Linked DNA regions of Oryzias latipes. The protein of the gene in region 2 interacts with the protein of the main gene of each other region in a pairwise test. Links are inferred from orthologs where the notes say so. Each region holds a gene or a part of one and is shown on either strand. Other genes may lie near its edges. The genes, in order: bysl, trip6, prkaa2, neu4, sik3, nck2 and nedd9.

Region 1 (3,936 bases), on a different chromosome or scaffold from region 2:
AGAGTCATGTTTTTTTGATTTCTCCAGTGCTTTCAACACCATCCAGCCATCACTGCTGAGGAGGAAGCTGGAGGTTGCAGGTGTGGACCAACATCTGGTTGCTTGGACCATCAACTACCTCACAAACAGACCACAGTTTGTGAGGCTGTGTGTCTGATGTGGTGGTCTGCAGCACGGGGGCACCTCAAGGGACTGTGCTCTCCCCACACCTGTTCACCCTGTACACATCGGACTTCACCTACAACTCCCACCACTGTCACCTGCAGAAGTTCTCAGAGGACAGTGCCATTGTGGGCTGTGTTTGTTAAGCTAAGCTAACATCCATCATGGATAACCCCTCCCACCCCCTGCACCAAACTGTAGAAGCGCTGACCAGCTCCTTCAGCATCAGACTGTTGCACCCTCAGTGTAAGAAGGAGCGCTACCGCAGGTCATTCCTCCCCACAGCCATCAGACTGTACAACACCGTGTTATAGTAGCTGTGTTTACATGGGCAAAAGTAATTGGAAAGAACACCTGAATCGGAAGGAAAATGTGTCATGTAAACACACCGTTCAGAATACTCTGCCCTGATCAGACTCGTTTGGATCAAAATGTCTTTCCGATCGAGATAGGTGGGTTATGCCGATTGTTGATCCAATCGTGTTACATGTAAACAGTTCATTCCGATCGTGTCACTACTGCTCTGGTTTAACGTCACGCATAGACGGTGTATCGCTCCAGAGAAAGCTTTGGAGCGCAAACAGGACCAACCGGCTGCTCTGCGGAGGACCGGTGAGAACCGCCGCTCTGCTCTCGCCCTGCTGGCTCTTCACCTCTCCCCTCTCTTACACCCCTCACGAGGGGGCTGCGAGGGGGAGCGCTTCGTGCCCCGTGACGTCTGGACCCTGCGTGGTCCGGGCTCGGGTGCCGGTGGACGGAGCGAACTGTGTCTCTGAGCAGAGCAGCCGGATTCATAACTTTGTGTTTGAGGGGAGTGTTTGTGTTCATCAAAAAAGGCTAATGTTGTTAGCGCGTGTGTTAGCCTCTCCAGGGTTCTTCCACAAAAAAAAGCACTGACCACACGGATTAAAATTAAAATGATGAGCGAACAGGCGCTTCATAATATTCATAACATTGATAAAAGCACGTTTAGAAGATCGTCTTGTATATTACCGAGCTGCTGCATGAATGTATGTGGCAGCTCGGTTTGTTTACTGTGGGACCCATTTCCTCTTTCGGTATTTTCAACACTACTGCTCATGCTCAAATGATTTATTCCAACCGAAAGTGTGACCCATGTGAACGTTTGTTCTAATCGGAAAAAGGTTTTCTGATCCCATGTACACGGTTGGATTTTAATCCGATCCAGATATTTTGCGCATGTAACCGCGGCTTATGTCTTCAATAATATAAGAAAGCTCACCTTTCCCACACCTCTATAAACCTCTGTAATTCTGGGGTCCAGCTGAGGCATGGGGCGCCCTGACACCTCCGACATCACCGTCCCCACTTCGGTCTGCTTCTCAGTGATTTTCTCCATGATTATGTCTGCCAGGGTCCTCCTACGAGAAAGAGAAACATGTTAGTAGGGACAGAAGAAACTGGCCTGGTGGTTTCTGTTTGTTGTTGTTGGTTAGTCAGAACTGCCATGTTTCTTGCCTCATTGGTGGGTTTTTATTCATGAACATCTCAATGGCCTTTTCGTCTTCTGGGTCTACAATAATTTCAGCATCACATTCGGTTTCTGCCGCCCCAGAAACTGCTTCTCCCAGTGCGGGCCACTCTTCATCCGAGTCTGCATCCCCAGATTCAGGACCTACAGTTACAGGAGTGTTTAGAACTCACATAATGAAAAGATGCAGATCTAGATGTATGGAATCACCCAACTAACTACAGAAACGAGTAAATGAAAACATTATTACTTCTATTTTTAAGTATTTATTTACTGAAAGTATTTTAATTTGGAGTGTTTACTAAAACCATCATTAGTGAACAGTTAACTTTATTTTTAAGTCATAGCATTAGTGCATCCCTTAGCAAAAAGTAGTCTATTTAAGTAAACTACAAGTATACTGTCTATACTAAAAGTAAAGCAGTAAACTAGAATTTTCTTTTTATATACATTTAAAATTTTCCAATAAAAGTCTGAAAAAGTATTCAGTTACTATATGTCCTACACTACACGTACATGGTCTATACTTGTACACTACTACACACTTATTACTCAAGTATCCTTAAGTAAACTTCAAGTGTACTTGTCTTTGTTAAGGGTAGATGGGTCTGAATTGTGATGAATCTGTGATGCAACTTTACTAAAGTTGGTCATCGTTTTCTTCGGTAAGAAAAACTAGAACAAGAGAGAACCTTTAGAAACCTTAATCAACGGCTTCTGTTTGATCATTTTCTAAACTGAAGCGGATGTCCTGGTTCTGATCCAACATTACCAAGAACAGTGACCGGTGTCGCCTTCTTCTTCTCCGGTACCAGCCCATATTCGGTCTGAAGCTCCTCTTGCTGAATTCGGGCTTGCTGTAGGATTTTCCGCGACAGCCGCTCGTCTACGTAGGTGTCGTCGCTTTCTGGCCGCTGGTCTCTGCTCTTAACCCGGTTGCGGGCTCGGACCGTGTCCGTCTGCAGGATCTGGTCAGCCAGCGCCACGGATCCAGAGCTCTTTTCTCCTCCACCTTTAGATTTCTTCACTTTCGGCATCGCTACAGCTCCAAAAAAATTTACAAGCTAAAGCCTGTCTATGCCTTTTTAGTGTGTAAACACCCAGCTGTTTAGCACGTGCGGACAAACGGCATGCGCGACAGAGGCAGCGGAAATACATTACGTCACATCCGGTTTCATTAAAAATGTTTCGAAACATTATATATGAAAGAACCTATGTTTATTAACTGAGTTAATCAGTTTAACTCAATTCGTCTATGTTCACTTGTATTTTTATTTTATTTTTTCCTTTACCGGAAGTCAATTTGTTTAACCGGAAGTAGTTGCGAAGGAGGCAAAACAAAAATGGGAGTAACTTGGTAAGGAATATTTTGGCTCATTAAAGTGTAATTATTATTTCAACATAGTTTGGTTTCGCTATGTTTATAGGACCTGTCTATTTCAAATGTTTGTTCTTTTGGGGAAAGCGTGCTCCTCCCCTTCATGGATGCGTTGGGTTGTCGCTGCTCAGTCGGGTGTTTTGTCTTTCAGTGTTTGTCAGGTGCCCATAGCGGAGGGCAAGAGTGTGCAGCAGACCGTGGACGTCCTGCAAAAAAAGCTGGAGCAGCTCGGTTCTGTGAAACAAGGCAGCTTCTGCGTGGATTGTGAGACATACCACGCCACGGGAAACGTTGTCGGTAAGCTCGCTACTTTTTCAAGCATCACGCGGGAAACATATTAGTAGTTATTTATTCATGTGGTAATTAGTTGTGGTTGCTTAGACCTTTAAAAAGCAATTAAAAAAAGGTGATTGGCATATGAGCTCCGTTTGTGCCCTTGCATTTAATTGGTAGCATTTTTAACAAGAACATTCAGGGCTTTTGCTAATTCTTCCTTCAGACACATCTGCAGTAAATATGGGACACAATTAAGCATACATAGCCACTTTATCTTATGTGTGTTTGTCAAATTATCTTGAGAATATTTTACAAATTAGATAAGGGTCCTATTAGTTCTACTGGAGTGTGACGACAGATCACCCCTTCAGCTGCACTTTAATGGCTCTGGCCTTTTATGGTAGAAACCATCTCAAAGCCTTACTATAAAACCAAATATTGTTTAAGGTTTTAGACTTTAAAAACCTTTTTTACATCAATAACAGATGTGCCTTTATTTGAATCATGGATGTGGAGTTTATGTATTATTGAGTTGAATGCATCATCCAGTGTTTCCCGTCTGTCACAGGTCAGCCCTCCAAGCTCTTATACGTGATGCATAACTCTGAAACCCCTCTGAGCTGCATGG
Region 2 (4,127 bases):
TTCTTCCAAAAAGCAGATGTTTCGCTGCATGTTTGACCAAATTCATAGTTTTACATCTGTGTCCGCGTTTAAAAAAACACTGGAAACTAAAGTCGTTTAATTAGGATGTTGGACCAAAGATGGACTCCTGTTTCCTCCTCGTTGAGTAGAACAGACAGAAGCATCAGATTCTCTATTTTACACAAATATTAGCTTTCTTATGAGCTGTTTATTATAACAACAGAAAAAAACTGGAAAAATGTATCAAAGCAACATAAAATTGGCAAAAATGATGTCATTATTTACATGTGTTCACTGAAATAAATAAAGTTTTGGACTAAAATATGTAGAACAGGATTTTCTGAGGATCACTTCACTTCTATGTATCCAATTTTTGTAAGCAAATAAACAGTTTTACGGTTTCTTTCTAAATAAAGCACCGATATGCGTGTAAATGGGTCACATTAGTACGCAACCATGTGACACAAAGGAGGTAACCAATCAGAAAAGACCCAGTTTAACAGTGGAAAAGGGCCAAACAGCTTGGAACAGACAGAGGAAGAAACTAAAGGACAAAGGAATTGGGTTACATTCAAAATGTCTGTCTTATACTTACTTATAATTTTGGCTAAATATTTAATTCACAAGTTTAAATATGCTCACAAAAAAAACAGTATATTATATTTTTCAAAAAGAAATAATTCTGTATGTAAATTGTATTGAATCCTGCACTAACAAAAAAGCTGTTAACACAGTTGAAACATGGTCACATTTAAGACTTTAGCAGAATCCTTTACCTTTATTATTTATGTTTTTTTACCTGTTTTATCTGGTTATTATTATGGCTTTTTGACATTTTTTTTTGGTTTATTTTACTGGCAAATGTGAACATTTTGTCATTTGCACACAGTGTGGAGTGTCAATATTTGATATTCTGTATGTGCAATATTTGTTAATAAAGTTTATTTTAAAAAGTTTGTCTAATAACTAACCTGAAAACTAATGCTGGTGCGAAAGTAAATCACATTGTAGGACATTAAAAAGAGCATAATATAGCCTCTTTAACCTTTAAAAAGTCTTTTTTTTTACTATTACAGGTACTAAGCAAGTATTACATCTACTTTCAAGATGACCTGAACACAAATCCTTCAAATTGAATATATTTCTTAATAAATCTTTATCTTACTTCATGCGGGTTGCCCAATATGCTCTCAAAACATGCCGTCACTTATTTTGTAATGTTGGTACCGCTGCAATCAGGACCCTCACATCAAGCCAAAGTATTGTTGATGTGGAAAAATAAATAAAGCTCTCAGAGTGATTGTAAATAGGCTGTGGGTCCATCTTTGCAGCTAAGAGGATTATAATGACAGATGAGGGGATGATGAAGCCACACTTTAACACAATGCTCCACAGAAAATCGTTCAGCCTTTTGTTTATCGTTATTATGATGATTATTTTTATTTCTTTTAGTATTCTGATGGTCACACCACAGCCATATTGACCGTCTGCTCCATCCTTGCACATGTGCCAGATAACAACCAGCCTTGAAGAACCTGATTTAAGTCTGTCTGACTCTGTATGAACACACACTCAAATCCCAGGCTGGAAAATTAATCCCAGGAGTTTCATCAGTCTGCGGATTAAAGCCAGTTGTTCTGTCTCTGAGACTTGCATAACAAATCATCTGATGAGGTCGGACTCATTCATTATTTTATTTAAAGAGGCACAGAAACTCTCAAAAATGAATGAAAGGAGAACACAGGCAACAACAAGAAATCTACTGATGTATTTTTATAACTGATTTGTACAACTAGTAAAATCCGTTGAGACAACCGTGTTGTAATATGGGGCTTTATAAATAAAAATGAACTTCCGGTAATTCAAATAAAAGAAAAACCAAACACCTAAAATAGCCTAAACGTTGGCACGTTAGAACTAATAAAAGAATAGAAAAACCTATTCATAATGTTCTAAGATATTCTTAAGGAAAAAAAACTATCTGGAATATGTTCGGTAGAAGTAGAAATGGAGGCTTTTATTTTGAAAGCACTGAAAAGTGGTCAGACACAATTTTGATTTGTGGGTTTTTGAGTCAGTCGCATTAAAAATAAAGCATTAAAATATGTAACCGCCGTAAATATATTACATTAAATAAAAAAAAGGGGGGGGGTAAACACACATATTTATAAAAAATAAAAAATATTCGAGATTTCTTACCTGTTACGGTGAAGCTATTGTCTTCTTTTCTTCGGTCTCATCTACGAAAACATCAAATAAATTAGTAAAACGACATGGAAGCAATACACGAACTACTTTAAAAATAAAACAAATTTTACAGCGATGTTTTTAGGTGCTGCTAAGAAATCTGCAGCTGTCTAAATCTGTCAGTGTCAGTGCGTCACACACTACCATAACAAACACGCAAAAAATAAAAAGTAAAAACAAATTAAAAAACAATAAGAGCAAAAATTAACTGCCTATCTTCGATAGAAAAACGACTAGCTTTGCTTAGAAAAAGAAAAAAAAAGAACCGTTATGAACTCGACATTTCGCTAGGTAGGCTCCTGGCTAACTTTCCAGCCCGACCCAACAGGGAACAACGCAAAAAATGTCGCCTATAAACCGAAACGTCGTAAAAACAGACGACCTGCAGCTGAGTTTAGGCGTTCCGAGGTGTGTGAAAAGCATCTCCAAAAAGTTTATTTCTGCGGAAGCGCATAAAACCCACTTTGTCGCGGATCCACAGGCCTTTAGTTTAGCAGCTCCTCGCTACATTCCCAACGTGTGACGTCACGTTACTGCATGCGCGTGCCCGCAATGGCGCGTGCCTGCTTTCAAAATAATTGAACTGAAGGCAAAGTGGCAATTCTACGGAAAAGGATAAGGAACGAGAATAGGGAAAAAAACCCGGCGAAAATAGCTTTTCTCCATATAATTCAGTCGTTTTCCCTTCGAATTCTGACGTAAACTCAGAATTCAAAAATAATTTTTTTTAAAAAAAATAAATAAACCAGAATCTAAAGAAAGAGAAAACAGAGTTGTGAGATTAAAGTTGACATCATGGAACCATGAGAATAAACTCCATTTCTGACTTTTTTTTCCTGAGAATGAAATCAGAATGTTTACTGAGATTACTGAGAATTGTAAATGATGGAAAAAGAATTCTGAGAAAAAAATACATTCTGAGTTTTATTTCAGAGTTCTTAAATTAATTCTTAATTCAATAAATGTAAATGTTCTTACCACATTTTTTTCTTCCTGCCCTTAATCTTTTTCAATACCACCAAAACAATAACCTAAGTACTCTAGAGTAAAAAAAAAAAATTACCGGTATGTAGTAACACAATAATAATTAATAATAATAATTGATACTTTATTTATCCCACAATGGGGAAATTCTTCTCTTCATCCCATCCCCTGGGGGAGTGGTGAGCTACAGCCGAACGGCGCTCAGTGGCGTTAAGGGACTTGCCGAAGGGCCCTCACTGGGGATGTTAATTGCTTGCCATTGATATGGTTATTATTCCATTGTAATAATGTAATAATTCCATTATTACCATTATTCATTACCCTCCGAACCATGGATTCCTGCGTGGTAGCCTCTCACCTTACCAACCGAGCTACCCAGCCGCCAGTAAAACACTATTAATTAGTAAAACATAAAACAGTGAAACATATTTAATTAATCAAAAAAAAAAACCACCAGAAATTGACCAACTGTAATTCTGTTTTCTTTTCAGATTTAAATAAGTACAATTACAATGAATTGAGTACAAATTATTATTTTATTCTGTATTTAGGCAAAGAAAAAAACATTTTCGTTTTTAAGGACAACATTCCACCTGACACTATTTTAATACAATTTTTGAAAGAACTACTTCAGGAACCTTTTTATTGCAATGGCATCTTTTTCATTTCTTTTTTTAGAACAAATACATCTAAACAAACTTTTACCAAAATCACAGTCAATTTGTCCATTTTTAACACTGTTCATTCCCAGTTAGCTTGTCATAGATAGCATGTCTTGTCTGGTAGTGCTTCTTCATAGTGAATATGAAAACATAATTTAGCCAATTGCAACCAAGAAATCATACACAAATTGTTTAGGAAGTGCTATGGGCTGCAGATTATTGATTTTATGACAG
Region 3 (3,500 bases), on a different chromosome or scaffold from region 2:
AGTATTTTATGCTTGCAGTTGCACGCTGTAGGATGTCACATCTGAAGAAATGTCTTATCTTGTCTTCATTGTTCCTCCTCCTCCTGTTCACACAGGATCAGTTAGCGGTGGCGTATCACCTCATCATAGATAATCGACGCATCATGACGCAGGCCAGCGAGTTCTACTTGGCATCCAGTCCTCCACAGGGCTCTTTTATAGAGGAGGGTATGCCATTGCCCCCTGGGGTCAAACCCCACCCAGAGAGGATGCCTCCACTTATGGCTGACAGCCCCAAGTCTCGATGTCCTCTGGATGCTCTCAACACCACCCGGCCTAAACCGCTAGCAGTGAAGAAAGCCAAGTGGCACCTGGGGATCAGGAGTCAGAGCAGACCCCATGACATCATGACGGAGGTGTACCGGGCTATGAGGCAACTCGCTTTTGACTGGAAGGTAACGACATAAGCTCTACACACAGAGGTTTGTGCAGTAAACATGTGGCTCTGCAAATATGCCTGTTCTTGTGTGTCAGGTGGTGAACCCATACCATCTGCGTGTGCGGAGGAAGAACCCAGTGACGGGAAACCTGGTGAAAATGAGCCTGCAGCTCTACCAAGTGGATAACAGATCCTACCTCCTTGACTTCAAAAGCATTGATGGTTGGTGACAGATCAAACGTAGTTCAGTTCCCTTTAAATGTGCAAAGCTGCAACACTTACAGTCTTTCTGTGACTCAGTCCTGTAACCAGCATGTTTGTGAGTATGTAGTTTACAGTTTACCACAAGATGGCAGAATTTGGTGCTTTTGAGAGACCAGTCTGGGTAAATGCAGAGTTTTTTTCAGGAAGAGCATCCAAATCAAATCATACCAACAGAACTTTCGGTGTTGGATTGTTGAGGGCCGGGTTAACAACGACTGCCAGCAATGCTGTGTGCTGGTGAAAACTGGACTACTGTTAGTGGAAGAAGGACAGGAGGAAGGCGGGTTTGTAGGCAGAGAGAAAAGGAAAGAAAGGAGTGAAGATCTCAGAACCTTCACAGGAAAACGAGAGTCGAGGGAGGAGCGCACAAGTTGATCACATTTTGGACAGATGTAATCTGAACAAGACCAGAGTCTGCAAAGTGGTGGCAGTGGGGGGTGTAGCCAGACTGTTGAGGATGGTGGTGGGAGGATGAGTCTGGCGGTGAGGAAGACGAAGAGGACATGAGCAGAGCAGATGACCAAGTGGTGGAAGATGAAATAGGAAGAATGCATGTGAGATGAGACGAGAGATGGAAGGGTTTGCAGCAGGTGAGGAGGATGACGGACAGAGAAGGAAATGTGGTGACAGGTTCTACTAGTGTGATGGAAAGATGGGAGGAGAACGTCGATGAGCTGATGAATGAAGAAAATGTTAGAGAGCAGAGGAAAAGAGGAGGAAGTACCAAGGATCAGTAAGGAGGATGTGAAGAAGACATTGAAGAGGATGAAGAGTGGAAATACAGTTGGTCCTCACAACACACCTGTGGAGGTATGGACGTGCTCAGGAGAGGTTGTCTGAGGAATGAAGCAGAAATCTTCTGATGGATGGAAGGACCAGAAGAAAGAAGGGAGATGCGCAGAGTTGTGAAAACTACAGAGGAGTAAAGATGATGAGTCACAATAAAGTTATAGGAAGAGAAGGGGAAGCTAGACTGAGGTCAGAAGTGAACATTTGTGAGCAGCAGTTTGGTTTCATCGCAAGGAGAACAACCCAAATGCAATATTTGCTTTGAGGATTTGAGGAACAACAGAGAAGGTCAGAAGGAACTGCATCTTGTCTTTTTTGAGCGGGGCTTAAAAGTATTTAGTCAGCTACCAATTGTGCAAGTTCTCCCACTTAAAAAGATTACAGAGGCCTGTCATTTTTTAAGGACAAAATGAGAAGAAAATAATCCAGAAAATCACATTGTCTGATTTTATAAAGAATGTATTTTTAAATTATGGTGGAAAATAAGTATTGGGTCAATTAGAAAAGTACATCTCAATACTTTGTTACATACCTTTGTTGGGAATGACAGCATTCAAACGTTTACTGTAAGTCTTCACAAGGTTTTCACAAACCTTTGCTGGTATTCTGGTCCATTCCTCCATGCAGATCTCCTCTAGAGCAGTGATGTTCTGGGGCTGTCACTGGGCAACACAGACTTTCAACTCCCTCCAAAGATTTTCTATGGGGTTGAGATCTAGAGACTGACTAGAACTCTCCAGGACCTTGAAATGCTTCTTACAAACCCTGTCCTTCATTATCTGGTCAGCGTATTTGGGATCGTTGTCACACTGAAAGACCCAGCCACGTTTCCTTTTTAATGCTCTTGTTGATGGAAGGAGGTTTTTTTACTCAGAATCTGATGATACATGGCCCCATTCATTCTTTCCTTTACAGTGATCAGTCGTCCTGGTCCCTTTGCTGAGAAACAGCCCCAAAGCATGATGTTTCCACCCCCATGCTTTACAGTGGGTATGGGGTTCTTTGGATGCAACTCAGCATCCTTTCTCCAGTAAAATCAGTCTGCGGTTCCCAATGGTTACATTTTAAAGTTAAAAGCAACTTAAAAAATATTAAGGGTTTTTCAAAACAAAATGCAATCTATTTAAGCTGATGTTGCTTCATTTACAGAACATTCTCAACTCTCAACATCTAATGTTCTGATGCACTAACAGCAAGTCCTTCTTTTTTAAATATTAAGCTCCTAGAGTTCTTACTAACAGTTCTATTTGGGTTTCATCTGACCATAGGACATTCTCTCAATCCTCTCCTGGATCCTCCAAATGCTCTCTAACAAACGTTAGACGGTTCTGCACATGTACTGGCTTTAGCAGGGGGACACGTCTGGCCCTGCAGGGTTTGAGTCCCTGGTGGTGTAGTGTGTTACTGATGATAGTCTTTGTAACATTGGTCCCAGCTCTCTGCAGGTCATTCACTAGGTCCCCCCTGTGGTTCTGGGATTTTTACTCACTGTTCTTGTGATCACTTTGACCCCACGGGGTGAGATCTTGGGGGGAGCCCCAGATGGAGGGAGACCATCAGTGGTCTTGTCTGTCTTCCATTTCCTAATAATTGCTCTCACAGGTGATTTCTTCACACCTGTTGCAGATTCAGTCTCCCAGCCTGGTGCAGCTCAACAGTTTGGTTTCTGGTGTCCTTAGACAGCTCTTTGGTTTGGAGTGGAGTTTGGAGTGTGACTGTTTGAGGTTGTGGACAGGTGTCTTTATATAGATAACCAGTTCAAACAGGTGTCATTAATACAGGTAATGAGTGGAGGACAGAGGATCCTCCCACAGAAGAAGTTACAGATCTGTCAGAACCAGAGGTCTTGCTTTGTTGGTGACCAAATACTTATTTTTCAAGCATAATTTACAAATAAGTTCTTTAAAAATCAGACAATGTGATTTTCCGGATTTCTTTTTTCTCATTTTGTCTCTCATAGTTGAGGTTTACCTATGATGAAAATTACTCTCTCATCTATTTACGTGGGAGACCTTTCACAATTGGGGGC
Region 4 (4,075 bases), on a different chromosome or scaffold from region 2:
GATAAAAAGCATAATGTCTCAGAAGCTTAAAGTTGCTAAAAATTCACTGACTAGTGGCAACCAAGAAAGCACCAAGAAACTTTAGATAATTGAAAAATATGAGCATTAAAAACCCCAACTACAAATGTTCTTAAGAAAAAGCAGCATTAAAATGGGCGTATACTAAAAAAAGCTTATGAAAGTTACAATCTAATATTTAATTTGCTGGAAAAAAATCACATACCCAGATGCACCTGAGGAGAGAATACATTGTTTTTAAAATGCTATTAATCAAAAGATACTTCGTCTGGATGTCATACATTTCAAACTGTGCTTAGGAAGAAGAACACATCTCGAGCAGCTTGCTCTTCTTCCTCCTCTTCTTCACGTGCGGCCTCGGCTGCACAGCAGGTGTCCTTTGGGTTTGCTGTTTACAGCTCCCGCTGGTCTGTCTGCAGTCATCCTCCCTGGGCTGTACATCCACGGGCAGATTGTCGATGAGCTCATAGAGGGTGAAAATGCTGAAGCAGATTTCATCGTAGGGGGTTTTGGTGCCGCACTCAAAGAGGCAGGCGAAGGCCACGGCGGGCACAGCTCCAGGTGAGGCTGACAGCTCCAGGTAGGCCAGATCAGAGTACGCGCTGGGACCCTCATAGATCACCCAGGGGCCACGCCAGCTGTCTGGATCACGTGGAAACAGGCTAAGGAACAGACCCAGATCCTGGCGGGCGGTGGTCAGTGTTGGATGGGAATACACCACCCAGGTAGGATTTAGGAAATCTGGATTAGGATGGTGTAGGTGCATGTTGCTAGTGTGGGATGTCCAGTGTCTGGAGACAAGACGCTTTGAGCAATTCTTCAGACTTTTGGATAAATGTAACGGGGCAGGAAATCCAACAATGCTACCATGACAACCATTTCGAGGCTCCACCAGTCGGGGCACCAGCTGCCCTGACTGGAACACAGCTCCGTCATCCAGACTGAGGGCTTGTACCCTGTATCCCAGAGGGCTTCGTGCGTTGCAGTACAACACGTTGGAGCCGTCTTCTTCATCCACAGACACCATCTGGCACTCCACGCTCTCTGGAGCTGGAATGGCTTCTCCAAAGCGCCAGCTCCTGCCGTGCGTGTCACTGTGGAAGCAGAAGGAGCGAGGAGTGGTCTGACAGAGGCGCCCCAAACACTCTTTGCACTCGATGTGATAGGCATAGGCAGGAATTAGCAGACGGCCCGACTTCAGCTGTAGGCCGTGACCCGGGCCCAGAGCAAACGTGGCCCAATCTGCTGGGAAGAAGGAGAGGAATGGGACTATGAAAAAACAGTTATAGCATGTATCATTTTCAGAACACAGCTAGCATTTTTCCCTAATTCCTATTTAATTGTTGGCAATTTGATAAAGATTTCCTCTTTTCCCATAGGAGCTCTACAAAGTGTGGTTTTTAACTAAAGATTGTTGTTTTTCTGTGCTTTAACAATATAAAGGTGGTTTCTATGCAAAAAGAGATCAGAAATGCAAATATCTTTTGGAGATAAATTAATGACTGAGTATCTTGGCCACTCTGATACACACAGAGGTGTATCATGTATCATGAGGTGTATCAAGTTTTTGGGGCTTTCAGAAGTTTTTTTTTTTTTTTGTCTGACTTCGTTTTCATTTGAAGTCCAGAGGAGAAATAAACATCTTAGGCTTCATTTGTGCTGTTTTTTTCTTCATCTCAAAAAGACTATCCAGATTAAAAATCTGTTCAAAGTGGACATGTTTAGACCTTTAATGGTGTCTCCTATGACTGTCTTGGTCAAGTCGGTGACTGGACTCCAGGTGTCCCCCCCATCGGTGCTGGAGATGTAGCAGAGCCGGGTCACGTTCTTCCCCGTCACCAGCTGGTAGGACTCTGACGTGTGGCCGAGAACAGCGATGAAGAAGAGGAAGAGCGTTCCCGTGAAGTCATCGAACACTGGACACGGGTTCATGGACCTGTGGCCTGGAAGGTAGGCAGTGCCCAGAACACTGATGTTGCCCCACTGCCACAAAAATCAGTTAAGAGACAAGGGCAGAAAAAAGTATACGTAAAAGAAATGAACTGATAAAAAACTAAATATGATAATAGACAAATTGTGTTGCAAATATTACTTTTATATAACTGTGTTATATTACTAAAATTTCCTAGTTGAATCTTCTGGAGTCTTCAGTGAATGCCAGTTGTCTGACTCTTTCCTAGGTTCTTCATTTTTGTCTTGCATAAGAAGATTGGTGTTTACACTTGTGTAATTATTGTCTTATTTTAGATATCAAATCTTACTCTATAATCTGTAAATACACCATCATCCTGCAAAAACAATTGTTGCCTCTTATAATTTGTTTTTTAATGTATTTTTGGACATCACTGTGTTCTCCAAACTGATGCTTTTTGTTGTTTTAAACACAATATGGACATAAATCTAAATAAAAAAGAGAAAGGTTTGTTCTGGCTTTTGCACTGTGTGTGTTTTATCCTTTAACTTATCAGAGTGCTGACAAAAATTATATTTGGAGCAGTGCAATGTCAACACAAGCAGAATTTAAAGCAAAACTTTGTGTTTCTGACCGTTAAAAATCACCGCACTCCATCCTATCACAGACCTCCACATAGTTTCTGTAGAAAGTGCCTTTCCTCACAACAAGCAGGTGAGCCTGGGAGTCAGACGGGCTGAGTCTCTCCTCACAGAAGGCCAGGAATGTTCTGTTGCGGGGCACGTAGATCAGAGCTGGGACTCTATACGTCACTCCATTGGACTCTTTTCGGAAAAGCACTGATCTCGCTGGGAAATAAGGCGACCTCATGCTCCAGCAGGACTGTGTGACACTTCCTCAAAGCAAACCCGGAGATTTTCTGCAAAAACGTAAAAATCAGAACCAGCTTTCATTGAAAAATATAGCATGTACATGGGGTGGTGCAAAATACAGAATTAGGAAAAACAATAATTGCCTCAGTAGAAATTATTGCTTTTCTCAATTTTTGATTGGCTTTTATGTGGAATGATAAACATGAATATATTCCACACACGAACAAACATACATTATTAGAAAATGTATCAACTGTGAACAAACCCCAAAAATAAGAATTTATTTCATGATTTCAAAGGTAAACTTGATGAAACAATCCTGAAGAAAAGTCAGGTGACAGAAAAGGTTTTGTTTCTTACTGTCTAAGCTGTCAAGTTTACTTTAGATCCCATTAAAGGAATGAATTAAAAATGAAATGGTAGCACGGGCATTTGTGTAATTAAACGTAGCTTAACCTTTAAAGTACATACTTTATAAGACTAAATGTATCTTGATTGTAGCAACAAAGACTTAACTGGCTGAGTTTTAAATTGTGAGACAATCTCTTCTCTTAAGAGTAAAAATGACATTTATCTGCACATTTTCTCACAATTTTTTAAATTAATGTCCAGGGCACAATGGGGAAGTAGATATGAGTCCTTACCTTTCCAAAGTTCAGAAAGAGCTGCAGCTACTTTGTGTTGGTACAGAGAGTGTTGGGTTTTGGGGATGACAGTGCAGTGAGTTTGTGTATTCCACAGAGGATCTGAAAGCCATGGTCTGTTCTCTCTGTTCACCGCAGCAGCACGGCATGCTGCTCACTGACCCAGAAATGAACACTCATCAGATCTACAGCTTTGGATGAATCAGCGGACAGTGGTCATTGTGGAAAAGATGGCAGAGTGGGAGGGGTCAATCTGAACAAAGAAGTTATGATCTGCCCTCTATGTATTCTCTCTCTGCTTCCCTTTGTCTTCTCATTGCACAGCGCCTGGGAAATAAATAGGTGCTTCTTTCGGTTCAAAGCTCTTCACTGCTAAACTTCCCTTCAAAATGTATCAAAGGTCTATTGAAACTGTTCAACAGTTAGTCTGTATATGTACGTTCTCATATTAGCACCAGTACTGTTCCATATCGTGACTGAAATGTAGAACATTTACGGTATTTATGCATAGAACACAAAAACATAGTGCATTAAAAATTAAGTAAAAACAGAAAAAAGCTTTCAAACAAAGTGTCAAAAATCTTCTTTAGACTCACATGCAAACAATAAATATAAAAAATAGATCACAT
Region 5 (3,500 bases), on a different chromosome or scaffold from region 2:
TTCATAGACAACCTAAAAATTGTAGAATTAGAACAACTTGTTCTTTGTTGTTCTAATTTCCAATTAATTGCTGTCCAAAAACCGTCGTCATTGCTGAACTTTGCATTCCAGAATCAAAAGTTTGCTGCTTTTTCTGATGTTGAAACACAATGGTCTTGAAAAAAGAAAACCCCCCCAGAAAAAATCCTCACCTGTACAGCATTTGGAAGATAGCTAATAGGTCGTGGTGTGGGCGGGGCGACACGAAGGGTCTTGTGTTTCTTGAGGCGTTCAGCCAGCAGACTGTAAATGGCACTGTAGTGATCATATGCATCTGTTTGTAGAGACTGGAGAAAGGAAAAAATAAAATAGCAGCGATTATAATGTTTGATAAAAAAGGCTGTGCTGATGACAGACGGCAGAAACGCCTGCCCGGTGCACACTGAGCTGACCTGAAGTGTGCGCTCCCTGTCCAGGCCCATTTCGGACATGGCCATCAGCACCTGCTCATTGATGAGCTCCACCTCTCGCTCGGTCTTCACCTGCTCACACTCAGCTATAAGCTAAAAAGGGAAGACAGGCAAGGGCAGAATACAGGGCAGGTTTTAGTCCAAAGTGGCTTTCCCATGAGGCACATGTCTAGGACAGCCCATGTTTGTTTTTGCCCCAAATGTTTAACCAAATTCAACATTCATGTAACTATTGGCATCGGTACTTCTATTTTTAAGTTGTAAATCAAAGTATATTCACTGATGGACATAAACTAAAAAGAGTTCAAAGAGACGGAAACAGTCAGCAAGCGGGAACTTCCTGAAAAATCGTGAAGGTTTGTTTTACCCGATCAAAGTCTGGGTCTGGATCTCCTTGTCTCATCCACTTGTTCTTACAAATCTGTTCCATACTCAAACGTCTGCTGGGCTCCAGAACTAGCATGTGTCTTATTAGGTACTCACAGTCTGCAAGGAGAATGATAACATTTCTTAGCAAAAAGTAGTTTATTTATATGTACTCTAAGCATACCTAGTCTATACCAAGGATGGCCAACCCTGGTTCTCAAGAGCCTCAGCCCTGCCTGTCTTCCAGTTCTCCCTGCCCAGCTTTCTCCCAATTAGCCAACTCCAGTGATTCCACATCCCTACTGACTGAACACGCATGATTTAGGGAGTCGGCATCAAGCAGTTCAGAGAGAGCTGGAAAACAAGCAGGATTGAGGCTCTGTGAGGACCTGGGTTGGTCAGCCCTGATCTATGCTACAAAGGGAAGCAGTATACCTGAAGTTTACTTTTGATATATGATCTATTTATTGCAAACTTGAAATGTTCCAATTTAGTCTGAAGCGGTATCCAGTTAGTATACTTCCTACACTACACAGAAACGGTCTTTAGTATATTTGCATTACTTTTACTCAAGTATACCTAATAAAATAAACTTCAAGTGTACTACTTTTATGAAGGGAAGAAAGTAAAATTGGGAAAAAAACAATCATATGCACATATCGAGGGGCCATTTATTTACATGATGCAAGAGTTTAAACCGTCTTTCAAGACGTTTTGACAAGCAACAAGTCTATGTATCCAAGTTTTAATATTGGATGAATCATAAGATTCTTTAGCCTTTTTTTATGTTAAACACAAAATTAGGAAATGCTATCGTTGATATATAATTGGTCATAGTGAGTTGTTTTTTGTCTTTGTTCAGCCTCAAAGTGGGCGGAGGACACAAACAAACACACAAGCTCCTACCTGTGGACATGAAGAAAGGGATGCGGAACTTTCCACTGAGAACACGCGCCCGCAAGTTTTGTAGAGTGCTGCCATCGAAGGGTAAGGCGCCACACACCAGCACGTATAACACCACCCCCAAACTCTACACCGGGAGAGAAGAATGCCCTCAGAGTTCAAAACGGAATTACTGATTAGTCAGGAGGCTTTCAGTCCGTTACTTACCCATATATCAACTTTAGGACCATCGTACTCCTTCCCTTCAAAAAGCTCTGGAGCAGCATAAGGAGGGCTGCCACACCAGGTCTTTAACAACTGGCCTCGAGAAAAGATGTTGCTGAAACCAAAATCTGTCAAAAGAACAAATGGGATCACTTCTTTTTTAGAGAAAACTGTCAAATCACAAACACAAAAAACACACCTGCAATTTTGATGTTGAGGTTGTGGTCCAGTAACAGGTTCTCCGCTTTTAAGTCCCTGTGGACAATATTGCGGCAGTGGCAGAAGTGGACGGCGGCCACAATTTGCTTGAACTTCTTCCTGGCGTCCTTTTCTGCCATGCGCCCATGAGCTACTAGGTGGTCTGTGGAAACAACAGAAGAACTCAGAAAGTCTAGACCAGTGTTTTTTAACCAGTGAGCCACGGCACACCAGTGCACAGTGAGAGATGTTCAGGTGAGCCCCAGGAAATTACTCATTTTCTCTGATCTAAAAACATTTACCATCTCCAGAATATCAGCTCGTAGTTCATGAAAACGAGGCTCAGGTTTCACACTGACCCCTTTGTGGAGCTCTTCAAAATAAAAGTGCCAGATTTCTCAGCATCTTCAGTGTCTTTTATTAAGAGGGCGAAAAATAGTAGACAGTAACTCCTCCCTTACGCAGCAGCATTTTCAGGTTTATGAGCACATTTTTGGACACGTGTTAAAGCAGAAGCAGAGGACACGGGCTTGGGGGGGGCGGTGCAATCTGCTGCACACGTCTGTGCAGAACTGGTGATCTGAACGGATCACGGATCATCTGTGCAGCTGTAGCAGCTTCACGCAGGATCCGGTGACAGAGCATTTAAAAAGTGGATAAAATAATGGAGCTCAGAGCACCACTGGCTTTCACTACAACTCCCATGATGCATTGGGCTAATGTAACGGCATTGCTGTTAACCGTCATGAAGCACAACAAACGCAAACGTCTGTGCTAACAGTCTGCAAATCTTCTCGATGAAATCAGAAAACCGTTTATTTCTCCTTCAAGAAGAACAGAATTAAAGTCAGAGATTCCAGAGTTTGGTCCAAGTCATCTTTATAAAAGAAACAACTGCTTTCTGATGTTTGAAGGACAAATTCTATTCCAGACTTCAGTCACTTTAATAAAGTAGATATTAGGTTTAAATAAAAGTAACAAAAACAAAGAAGCAGCATTAAGGTGGAGTTTCCAACAGACACATTTAAACTGAACGGAAACAATTTAATCTCCCAAAAATAAATGACACGTTTTTGTTAAAGTTACTTTTTTTAATTTAGACAAAAGAAAAAAATGGATAAAACTTTAACGTGGTCACGTTTGTGTAGTTACAATTTATCTTGTAATCCTGAAGATAATGTTGGTCTTTTTGTCTAAAATTGATCAAACATGAAAGGGTTAATGGTCACAAAGTGTGCATTATCAGAAATTAAAGCATGCCGCAGAAGCCTGATCCGTCCAACGTGAAGTGTTACTTTCTGATAATGCACACTTTGAAGGCCATTAACCCTTACATACCATGGTCATTTATAAAAGAAAGAAATATTAAATCCGTTTATA
Region 6 (4,256 bases), on a different chromosome or scaffold from region 2:
TGAAGAATGTATGAGGAAGGTTGCCTCTATAGCTTCATTTTAATTTTTTAAAGTATGTCTTTTAAACAAATTAAGATTTTTATTTCCTTTACAGTAGCAAGGAAATGCGATCTACATGAATAACAATGGACATGTGGCTTAATCGTCTCCTATTTCTCGCTATTATCGCCAAGGGGCGACATATTCCTCCACAATCTGTCCATTTCCCTCTGGCGTTGTCCTGTTCTCGTCCCGGGGTTAGTGACGTCACAACCAGGACCGGGGATCAAGCTGAACGTGAATATCAGAATCAAACCGGAAATTGAGGCGGAGTCCTAACAAATAAAAGCAGGCTCGATTTAACAAAAAGATTCTGAAAGTTAGCATGAAAAAAGGAAAATAACCAAACTAAGGTACGAGTAAACTATAAACAACATCAGTTCACCAACAGACATACATGTAATTTTACATGTAATTTATATGTAATTTTACATGTATTACATTTAGGCCTGCAGCCTTGCTTCAATGACCATTAGGTAAATACACTTCTGACCGTTAGCAGTTGGTAAATAAAAGATTTTTTTTTTACGTTTTGAATTGCATACTCATTTACCCACATCACAAAGGATAAAGTGTAACCATAGAGCAAAACAAAACAAAATACGATTTTAAATGGATAGGGATTGACCAAAAAAGTAACTTGTTGATCTTTCTATTTTATTTAATTCTTATGAAAATTTTTCTGGATTAAATATTTGTTGTTTGATGCCATCATATGGACTTCAAAAGAAAAGAAAATAGTAAACTACATGGAACTGCTGTTAGCGAAACTGCTGAAACATCTGCAAAATGATAAAAAACACCTACACTTCAAACACATATACCGTTAAACTGTGAAGAACCTCTTTTTAGATGTTCCTCACCCAGACAGATATTGGCAAATGAAAACACATTAATTTAAAAAAAGAATAGAAAGAATAAATGTTTCTGCTAATATTCCACATTCATTTGGTTTCAAAGTTTTCTCTTCCTAAACATTCGTATCATCTTTTCTTTACATTTTTGTATGCTGTTGCTAAGATTTTCATTTTTGACATTTAAAATAGGTCAAATAGACGACAAAACACCTGAAGAAGTACAAGTTGAATATGTCTAAAAATGTACTATTTCAAAAAAGAAAAAAGTTAATTATATATTAAATAAAGATAGTAGTGGTGAATAGACAATAAAGCAATAATAGTACAGTGTACATTTTTGTTTATCACAGGCATAAAAATGTGGAAAAATGCACACGTTTGTTATCATGAACAATATTTAACCATATTTAATTAAACTGTGTTTTCTGACTGCATTTAATATTTTTCAAATTTCTAATATGTAATTTTAATTTACTTGTTTTTGCAAAAATTGTACTTTTTAATTGAATTTGCCCTGTTCAAACCTAGCTTTATTTTGAAAAATCGGAACGGAAGTGAAGAAGTGTGTATCTCCTAGCTTGAAAGGAGGCTGATCGAGGCGGAGGCAGTCAGCCTGCGACGGAAAAACAAGCGACAACACGTCGAACAGTACAGGTTTAGTCAGTGTTTGAAGAAAGAAAATGAGATAAACCAGAGGAGATGAGGACTTAAACGAATTTTTTTGTCACTTTGACGAGGGTTTGGTCACTTATTATTGTTGGACCCGCGCGCGCTATCCCTGTGCTGTGACGCTTGTCTGCCCATTCTGACTGGAGTGAACACTAAGGTAAGGTAAGCCTGAAATACACAACTGTGTGAGTTGCTTCTGCTTACATTACTCTTTCCAGCTGCGCGTGCCGTAGATTGAAAGGGGTTTTATTGGTCTACAGAATTATGTGTGGAGGTTTTCCTCCGTAGTGGGAGTGGGAGGCTCGGAGTGTCACTTTCTCGCGTTGAGACGCTTGGTCTTTGTCCACTCTGACCACAGACTTGGCTCGAATCTCGCTCCAGTGTTCGCGAACCACTTTTTAAACCCCCACAATTGTATAAATTTGTTTAAATTCCCACACTTAAAATCATCAATTAAAATGTTCACTAACAACATTTGTACTTTTTCGGTTAGTAAATATTAGAGGGGCCTGACTCACAGACCATGGTCGGTGGTGGTGGATTCCAGGCTGTGGTCCGGCTTTGTTTAAAATAGTTTCTTTTAACTTCAGTTCTACAATTTCGTACTTTTTTGCGTGGAAAACAATTTCTGCCATCATAGGTGTTTGGTTGGTGTGGTTCGAGATCCTGCTGACAGCGCTACGGCTCACACAATGAAGCACACTTGCCAAAGAAGCAGCAGAAATCGGCCGGGCGCCTGGTGCCACATGCCGAGCTTGTCAGTGCTCCTAGCGGCCGTTGGTGGGAACTGCACCATGCTGTCGCCTCATCAGCCCCTGTGGATCAAAGGACGCCTTGTCTGTTCTCTCACTGACTTGATGCTGGATATTTTTGTACATTTTATTTTAGATTTAGAATTTGGGTTTTCAGATTTAAATCCAGGTGTTTAAAGGTGCTGAAAGTTCTTGCGTGGTTCAGGTAGACTTGTCACACCTACTGCAGACACACCCTGTGCAAAGCGCTCTCCCGGTCTACAGTCCGCACTGACAGGTATGAGGAAGGAGGCTGCAGGTCCTGTACTGCAGAAACTCCCGTTGCATCATTTCCTTGGAATTCGATACTTGGAGCAGAAATGTTGTTTTAGAGATGAATTTCCACCCCCCTCTATGTTTCTGACACCATTCTCCCTGTCAGCTATTAATAACTCACTCTGATGAAAACTGTGGAGTTTTTTTAATATGTTCTTGTTTTTTTTTTTCATGAGGGAGGACATACATGAAGAAAATTTAGATATAAAACTGCATTTATGAGTATTTCTTTATTCAGATCGTTGTGAATCAGGAGCCGATGAAAAATTACTGTCGGAAAAAGCTTGTTGCTTTGACGTAGGCGTTTACAACGGCAAGCCACAAACTCCCTGCTCTGCTCCATTCTGATGCCTCCACTAGTACACGACTGTGCATCTTCGTTGACCTCGTCTGAGGTGGAATCTGGCTCAGAACTGTACGGCTGGATAGCTGCAATATTGCCCGCCCTTTTTGTGAAACCCCTAACGTTAGGTTGGGATGTGTGAGGGGCTCTAAGCTAGCGGGAGTTAGTGTAAACAGATAGATGACGAGATGTGGGGGTGGGCTTTCTCTGTGTGCCCACACCTCAGAGGCAAATTTCTGATGAACTCCTGCCACTCTGCATAACTATGTCCTAGAAAACGACACAGATTTTTTGATTTTGGCTAAAAAGAGCATCATCACGCTTTTACAGTAGATCAAAAGATGATCAGAGTTTGACTTTAAGCTATGTTCTCATCGCCCTCGGCAACATGTTTTTCAAGCAGACACCTTCGATGAGAAGTCTATGTAAACACTGTTTTATGGGCTTTTTTGCTCAAAACTCTTGTGTTCATGCCTGGCTACGCAAGTTTTTATGACAATGAACACGCGTTGGAAGTTAAACCAGGTCGAACTTTGACCAATCAAGGACTTGGATTTTGGAGTGACATATATATGGTTTCCTTTGTAATTCACGAAAGTGCCAACGGTTTGAAAGTTGATCATGAAGGAGGAATTAATGATTGTGGTTTGTGCCCGGCTGGAATTCTGGCATCAAGTCTTTAATATATTGGAATATAGCTGTCAAAGAAAAGACAAAAAAATAAAACCTGGAGCAAGATTTACCAGATTTGACTTTTTGCACCAAACCTTTTCTAGTACATGGTAGAAAAAGAAAAAAAAAGGGTACTTTAACATGCATTAAATGCATGGTGTGTATTAGAGGTCCAACGGATCACGGATGACCCTTGATGACCCCCCCCCCCCCCATTTAAATCGATTGTCCGTTCAAACCAAAGACAATTTGTGCGTCAAATTCAATTAATTTGAGTTAAAATAACAAAAATGAGTTTTTTACAAATACATCATATTGTCAACAATCACGATTTTGAATATGTGATTTAGAAAAATGTAAACAATAATTACTGTATTCTACTATGGATGTATTGTGAAGCTTCTAGGAGTGTGAATTCTACATTTAGGTTTTAAATATTGTTTTCAGAATTGCCTATTTTTATTCATATATTAAATGGATCCGTTTTTTAGTTTTTAGTCGTTTCTTTTAAAACAAACCCGATCTTTCCTGTCATCTTCTTAACCGTTTATTCCCTTTCGGGGTCACGGGGTTGCCGGAGCCTATCCCGGCCACTTGGGCGTAGGCAGG
Region 7 (3,092 bases), on a different chromosome or scaffold from region 2:
CAGTAATTTGTCGTTTTTCGTGCAGTGATGAATCATGTTGAACGCTTTAAAGACTTCAGGGAAGCTCTCCGGTCTTCTCAGGCTGCAGGATTTATGCTCACATGACGGCTTCACTGCACCCCAAAGAACAGAAAACCTGCAGCAGATGACACGCTTTTTTGGGTAAGGGGCTTTTCTCACGCTGCAGAGGACATCTGCTCTGCCTCCATCTGAAGGCCAACTCCATCCAGCGCTGCATTCACAGAGAAGCTCCAAGCGGGTTTTTTTCAGCCTGAGCTGAGTTTCAACCTCCAACTATTCAGGCCGATCTTTTGTCAAACTTCAAATAATGTCGCTTTTCTTAGACCTGCAGGTCCTGACATGATGTAACTCTTTTGTTTTGTATGGTCTGACTTAATCATTCAACCTTAAGTATTCAAACAGGAATGATTTAAGTCCAACATTGTTAGAATAAAGTATTTGAGCGAGATACGGGAGAAGAACAACACTGAAAAGATGAACACGTTTCAGTCTTTTACTTTTTGGCAAGCGCCACAAACACAGACACGAGTTACAGGCAAATTTACGGTCACACGTCACACTATGACACACCAGCCTCGCTCCACAATGGACCACAGCTCATAAGGTGCTTTACAAATACAGGAATGTCATGAAAAAAAATGTCCGGCGCATCCTGCAGCAACACAAGTTCAGAGTATAAAACCATCTACACAAAAATAGAGCGGGTTTTTACAGAAGAGACTATGTACAGGAAAAAAGCAAATATATATAACCCAGCAGACAGCTGTACAGGAAATGAGATGATGGATGGTTAGGGCTTGGCCATGTGCAGCAGCTGCTCCTTAAACTGCTGTGCGTGGTGAGACAGGTCGGTGACACGGTCCACCATGTCCTGGACGGCGGCGGTGTTGGGGTAGTTCAGAGCGGCCGTTTTGGTTGCTCCCACCACCGTTTTCAGCAGGTCACACAGCACATTACTGGCGTTCATCACCCTGTTGGCCACCTCGGGGGACGAGGCTTGTCGGGACAGGGTGTCCCCGATGAAGACCAGCTTATGGGCGCTGAGGATGACAAACTTGCTGTGAGCTACAAAGATGCGAGGGGGCTGGCCGGCGCCGACGCAGCCGAAGAAGGCGTCGACGGCGCTGAGGAGCGTGACAAAGTGCTGCTTGCACTGCTCGGCGTAGAAGGCGAGCAGCTGGCGGTCCCGAGTACAGACGAGGGCGGAGGAGGAGTCAGAGGGAGAGGCAGATATCCACTGAGGCACATCGTTCTCTACCGGCTTGATGACCTCCTGCTCCAGCTTCTTGAACTGATTGATCTGTGGAGAAGCAAAAATTTAAGTCAGATGGTCGGCTTTTATGTCTGTTCAGCCCAAGTTCAGGGAGACTGAGCTTCATCTCTGCATGGACATTCATGAAGCTGCGTGAGAGGAGAACCTCTTCATCTTCCTCACCTGCTCCTGACCCAGCTGGACTTGACTCTGCTTGATGATGTTCTCCTTCTCCAGAAGCTCCTTTTGCTGACGCTCAAAGTCTTCTTTCCCCTGCAGGCAAACAGAGTTAAATGAAGCAGAAAGATCTCATATTCCAGCAGAAGACACTAAGCAGCCATTTGTACCTGCAGGTGGACGTAGTCGTAGTCTTCCATCCAGCTCTTTACGCACTTCTCACTGTTGTTCAGGTTGTCTTTGTCCTGGGGGGAAACGGGGAAGGGCTTGGTCCGGCCCCTGTAGTTGTCGTTGTCTGCAGAGGGGGAGGTCACCTGATGTGTGGGGTTGTCCTCGGGCGTAGCCCGCCGGAAAAGCAGCTCCATGTTGCTGCTGATGGAGGCAGCGAGCTGCTTGGCGTCGTCAGGAACGCTGCGGGACACCATGACGAAGCGCTCCACGTCGTCGCTCTTGTTCAGGTGTTTTCCGGACGCCGTCAGCGCGTTCAGACTCCAACCGCTGGCCTCCAGGGTTTGGTTGATCTGCTGCAGGATCTGCTGGGAGTCCTCCAAGCGCCCCAGCTGCCGCCGCAGCTTACAGTGGAGGCTGGAGTCAGATAGGGAGGCGGCGTTCACCGCAGCGCCCCTACCAAACACAATGAAGTCCCTTATAGCGGCCCGGACCCGATCCAGCACAGTGCGGAGGTCATTGGTGTGTTGCTCCATAAGGGGAAACGTCCTCCAGTGCGGGGAGGCTGCCATTGATTGCAACGCCCCTACAGAAAGCTCCACCCCTTGCTGCAGGCGGTACAGCCGCTGCACGGCGGCGTCTGCGTCCAGCGCCAGGCGGCCTTCAGGGGCTGAGCCCGTGGAGGATGAGGAGGTGGACATGCTGCTGCGCGAGCTGCCAGTGCTCGAGAACGACAGCCGGTTCACGCCGTCCGTCACGTCCGTCACCGCGCGCACTTCCTGTGCCGGGACGTCGTAGATGCCGTTTCCGTCAGAAGCGGAGTCTCTCAGCTGGGAGGGCTGCATATTCCGGGGGAAGTCATAAATGTCCTGCTGAGCCCCCGCCCCAGACTGAAGGGCAGACGGGGGCACGTCGTAAATTCCTTCATTGCCATTGGAGTTCAGGTGATGGGGCGGGGGCTCATAGCTGAGGGGGAAATCATAATGAGACTGGGGGCTTTGAGTGGCCTTGGTGAGGGTGGGGGGTGGAACGTCATAGATGCCTTCTTGTTTGTGCTTCAGGGACTGTGGGAAGTCATAGTTGCCCTCCTGGAGGCCAGCGTTGGTCCTGCAGGGGCGGACGGAGTACACCTGTGGGGGGGAGGACTCCTGTTAGTGCTCTGCAGCAAATACAACCCTAAAATAGTGCTGGGGAGGGGGGTGCAGCACGCTCTGGTTTCATGGGAACAAACCTTTAAGTAGTTTGCCTAAAAAAACATTTTATTCCTTTTTATCCTCCCCCTCCCACCTGAGGCAGACTGGCCCCTTCAACAGGGAAGTGGACAGTGAAGTGAGTTTTTTTTTTAATGTGAGGATCTTTTAAAAATCCTGAATTTTCCACCTTTGTTTCCTCATGTTTGGGGACTGTGACGTCCCTTTGGGGGCGCACCCCTCAGAGGATTACAGTTCTGGACCTGATCTGGGCCCTCTACGTC

Evidence for each region.
Region 1: the proteins of trip6 (region 2) and bysl interact in binary tests that used the Homo sapiens proteins (3 or more experiments, as listed by UniProt). The two-hybrid records come from large-scale screens. The link is inferred for Oryzias latipes from reciprocal best matches to the Homo sapiens genes TRIP6 and BYSL.
Region 3: the proteins of trip6 (region 2) and prkaa2 interact in binary tests that used the Homo sapiens proteins (3 or more experiments, as listed by UniProt). The link is inferred for Oryzias latipes from reciprocal best matches to the Homo sapiens genes TRIP6 and PRKAA2.
Region 4: the proteins of trip6 (region 2) and neu4 interact in binary tests that used the Homo sapiens proteins (3 or more experiments, as listed by UniProt). The two-hybrid records come from large-scale screens. The link is inferred for Oryzias latipes from reciprocal best matches to the Homo sapiens genes TRIP6 and NEU4.
Region 5: the proteins of trip6 (region 2) and sik3 interact in binary tests that used the Homo sapiens proteins (3 or more experiments, as listed by UniProt). The two-hybrid records come from large-scale screens. The link is inferred for Oryzias latipes from reciprocal best matches to the Homo sapiens genes TRIP6 and SIK3.
Region 6: the proteins of trip6 (region 2) and nck2 interact in binary tests that used the Homo sapiens proteins (3 or more experiments, as listed by UniProt). The two-hybrid records come from large-scale screens. The link is inferred for Oryzias latipes from reciprocal best matches to the Homo sapiens genes TRIP6 and NCK2.
Region 7: the proteins of trip6 (region 2) and nedd9 interact in binary tests that used the Homo sapiens proteins (3 or more experiments, as listed by UniProt). The link is inferred for Oryzias latipes from reciprocal best matches to the Homo sapiens genes TRIP6 and NEDD9.

What each region holds. Positions count from the first base shown.
Region 1 is NC_019863.2:2,276,684-2,280,619, forward strand, and holds the start of bysl (bystin), read right to left. Parts: upstream 2,801-3,936; 5' UTR 2,692-2,800; coding exon 2,427-2,691; intron 1,799-2,426; coding exon 1,642-1,798; intron 1,545-1,641; coding exon 1,406-1,544; intron 1-1,405. Other genes in the region: med20 (mediator of RNA polymerase II transcription subunit 20), read left to right, coding at 2,998-3,011, 3,184-3,329, 3,877-3,936. UniProt on the Homo sapiens protein: Required for processing of 20S pre-rRNA precursor and biogenesis of 40S ribosomal subunits. May be required for trophinin-dependent regulation of cell adhesion during implantation of human embryos.
Region 2 is NC_019876.2:14,759,854-14,763,980, forward strand, and holds the start of trip6 (thyroid receptor-interacting protein 6), read right to left. Parts: upstream 2,801-4,127; 5' UTR 2,711-2,800; exon of another isoform or gene 2,630-2,710; intron 2,241-2,629; 5' UTR 2,200-2,240; intron 1-2,199. UniProt on the Homo sapiens protein: Relays signals from the cell surface to the nucleus to weaken adherens junction and promote actin cytoskeleton reorganization and cell invasiveness. Involved in lysophosphatidic acid-induced cell adhesion and migration.
Region 3 is NC_019862.2:3,538,888-3,542,387, forward strand, and holds part of prkaa2 (5'-AMP-activated protein kinase catalytic subunit alpha-2), read left to right. Parts: intron 1-95; coding exon 96-434; intron 435-513; coding exon 514-640; intron 641-3,500. UniProt on the Homo sapiens protein: Catalytic subunit of AMP-activated protein kinase (AMPK), an energy sensor protein kinase that plays a key role in regulating cellular energy metabolism.
Region 4 is NC_019871.2:13,922,781-13,926,855, reverse strand, and holds neu4 (sialidase-4), read right to left. Parts: upstream 2,801-4,075; coding exon 2,600-2,800; intron 2,002-2,599; coding exon 1,746-2,001; intron 1,261-1,745; coding exon 314-1,260; downstream 1-313. UniProt on the Homo sapiens protein: Exo-alpha-sialidase that catalyzes the hydrolytic cleavage of the terminal sialic acid (N-acetylneuraminic acid, Neu5Ac) of a glycan moiety in the catabolism of glycolipids, glycoproteins and oligosacharides.
Region 5 is NC_019871.2:32,767,511-32,771,010, reverse strand, and holds part of sik3 (serine/threonine-protein kinase SIK3), read right to left. Parts: intron 2,284-3,500; coding exon 2,122-2,283; intron 2,051-2,121; coding exon 1,926-2,050; intron 1,846-1,925; coding exon 1,722-1,845; intron 936-1,721; coding exon 817-935; intron 543-816; coding exon 432-542; intron 327-431; coding exon 192-326; intron 1-191. UniProt on the Homo sapiens protein: Positive regulator of mTOR signaling that functions by triggering the degradation of DEPTOR, an mTOR inhibitor. Involved in the dynamic regulation of mTOR signaling in chondrocyte differentiation during skeletogenesis.
Region 6 is NC_019879.2:10,283,170-10,287,425, forward strand, and holds the start of nck2 (cytoplasmic protein NCK2), read left to right. Parts: upstream 1-1,456; 5' UTR 1,457-1,727; intron 1,728-4,256. UniProt on the Homo sapiens protein: Adapter protein which associates with tyrosine-phosphorylated growth factor receptors or their cellular substrates. Maintains low levels of EIF2S1 phosphorylation by promoting its dephosphorylation by PP1.
Region 7 is NC_019869.2:19,387,596-19,390,687, forward strand, and holds the end of nedd9 (enhancer of filamentation 1), read right to left. Parts: intron 2,749-3,092; coding exon 1,621-2,748; intron 1,547-1,620; coding exon 1,457-1,546; intron 1,322-1,456; coding exon 812-1,321; 3' UTR 501-811; downstream 1-500. UniProt on the Homo sapiens protein: Scaffolding protein which plays a central coordinating role for tyrosine-kinase-based signaling related to cell adhesion. As a focal adhesion protein, plays a role in embryonic fibroblast migration.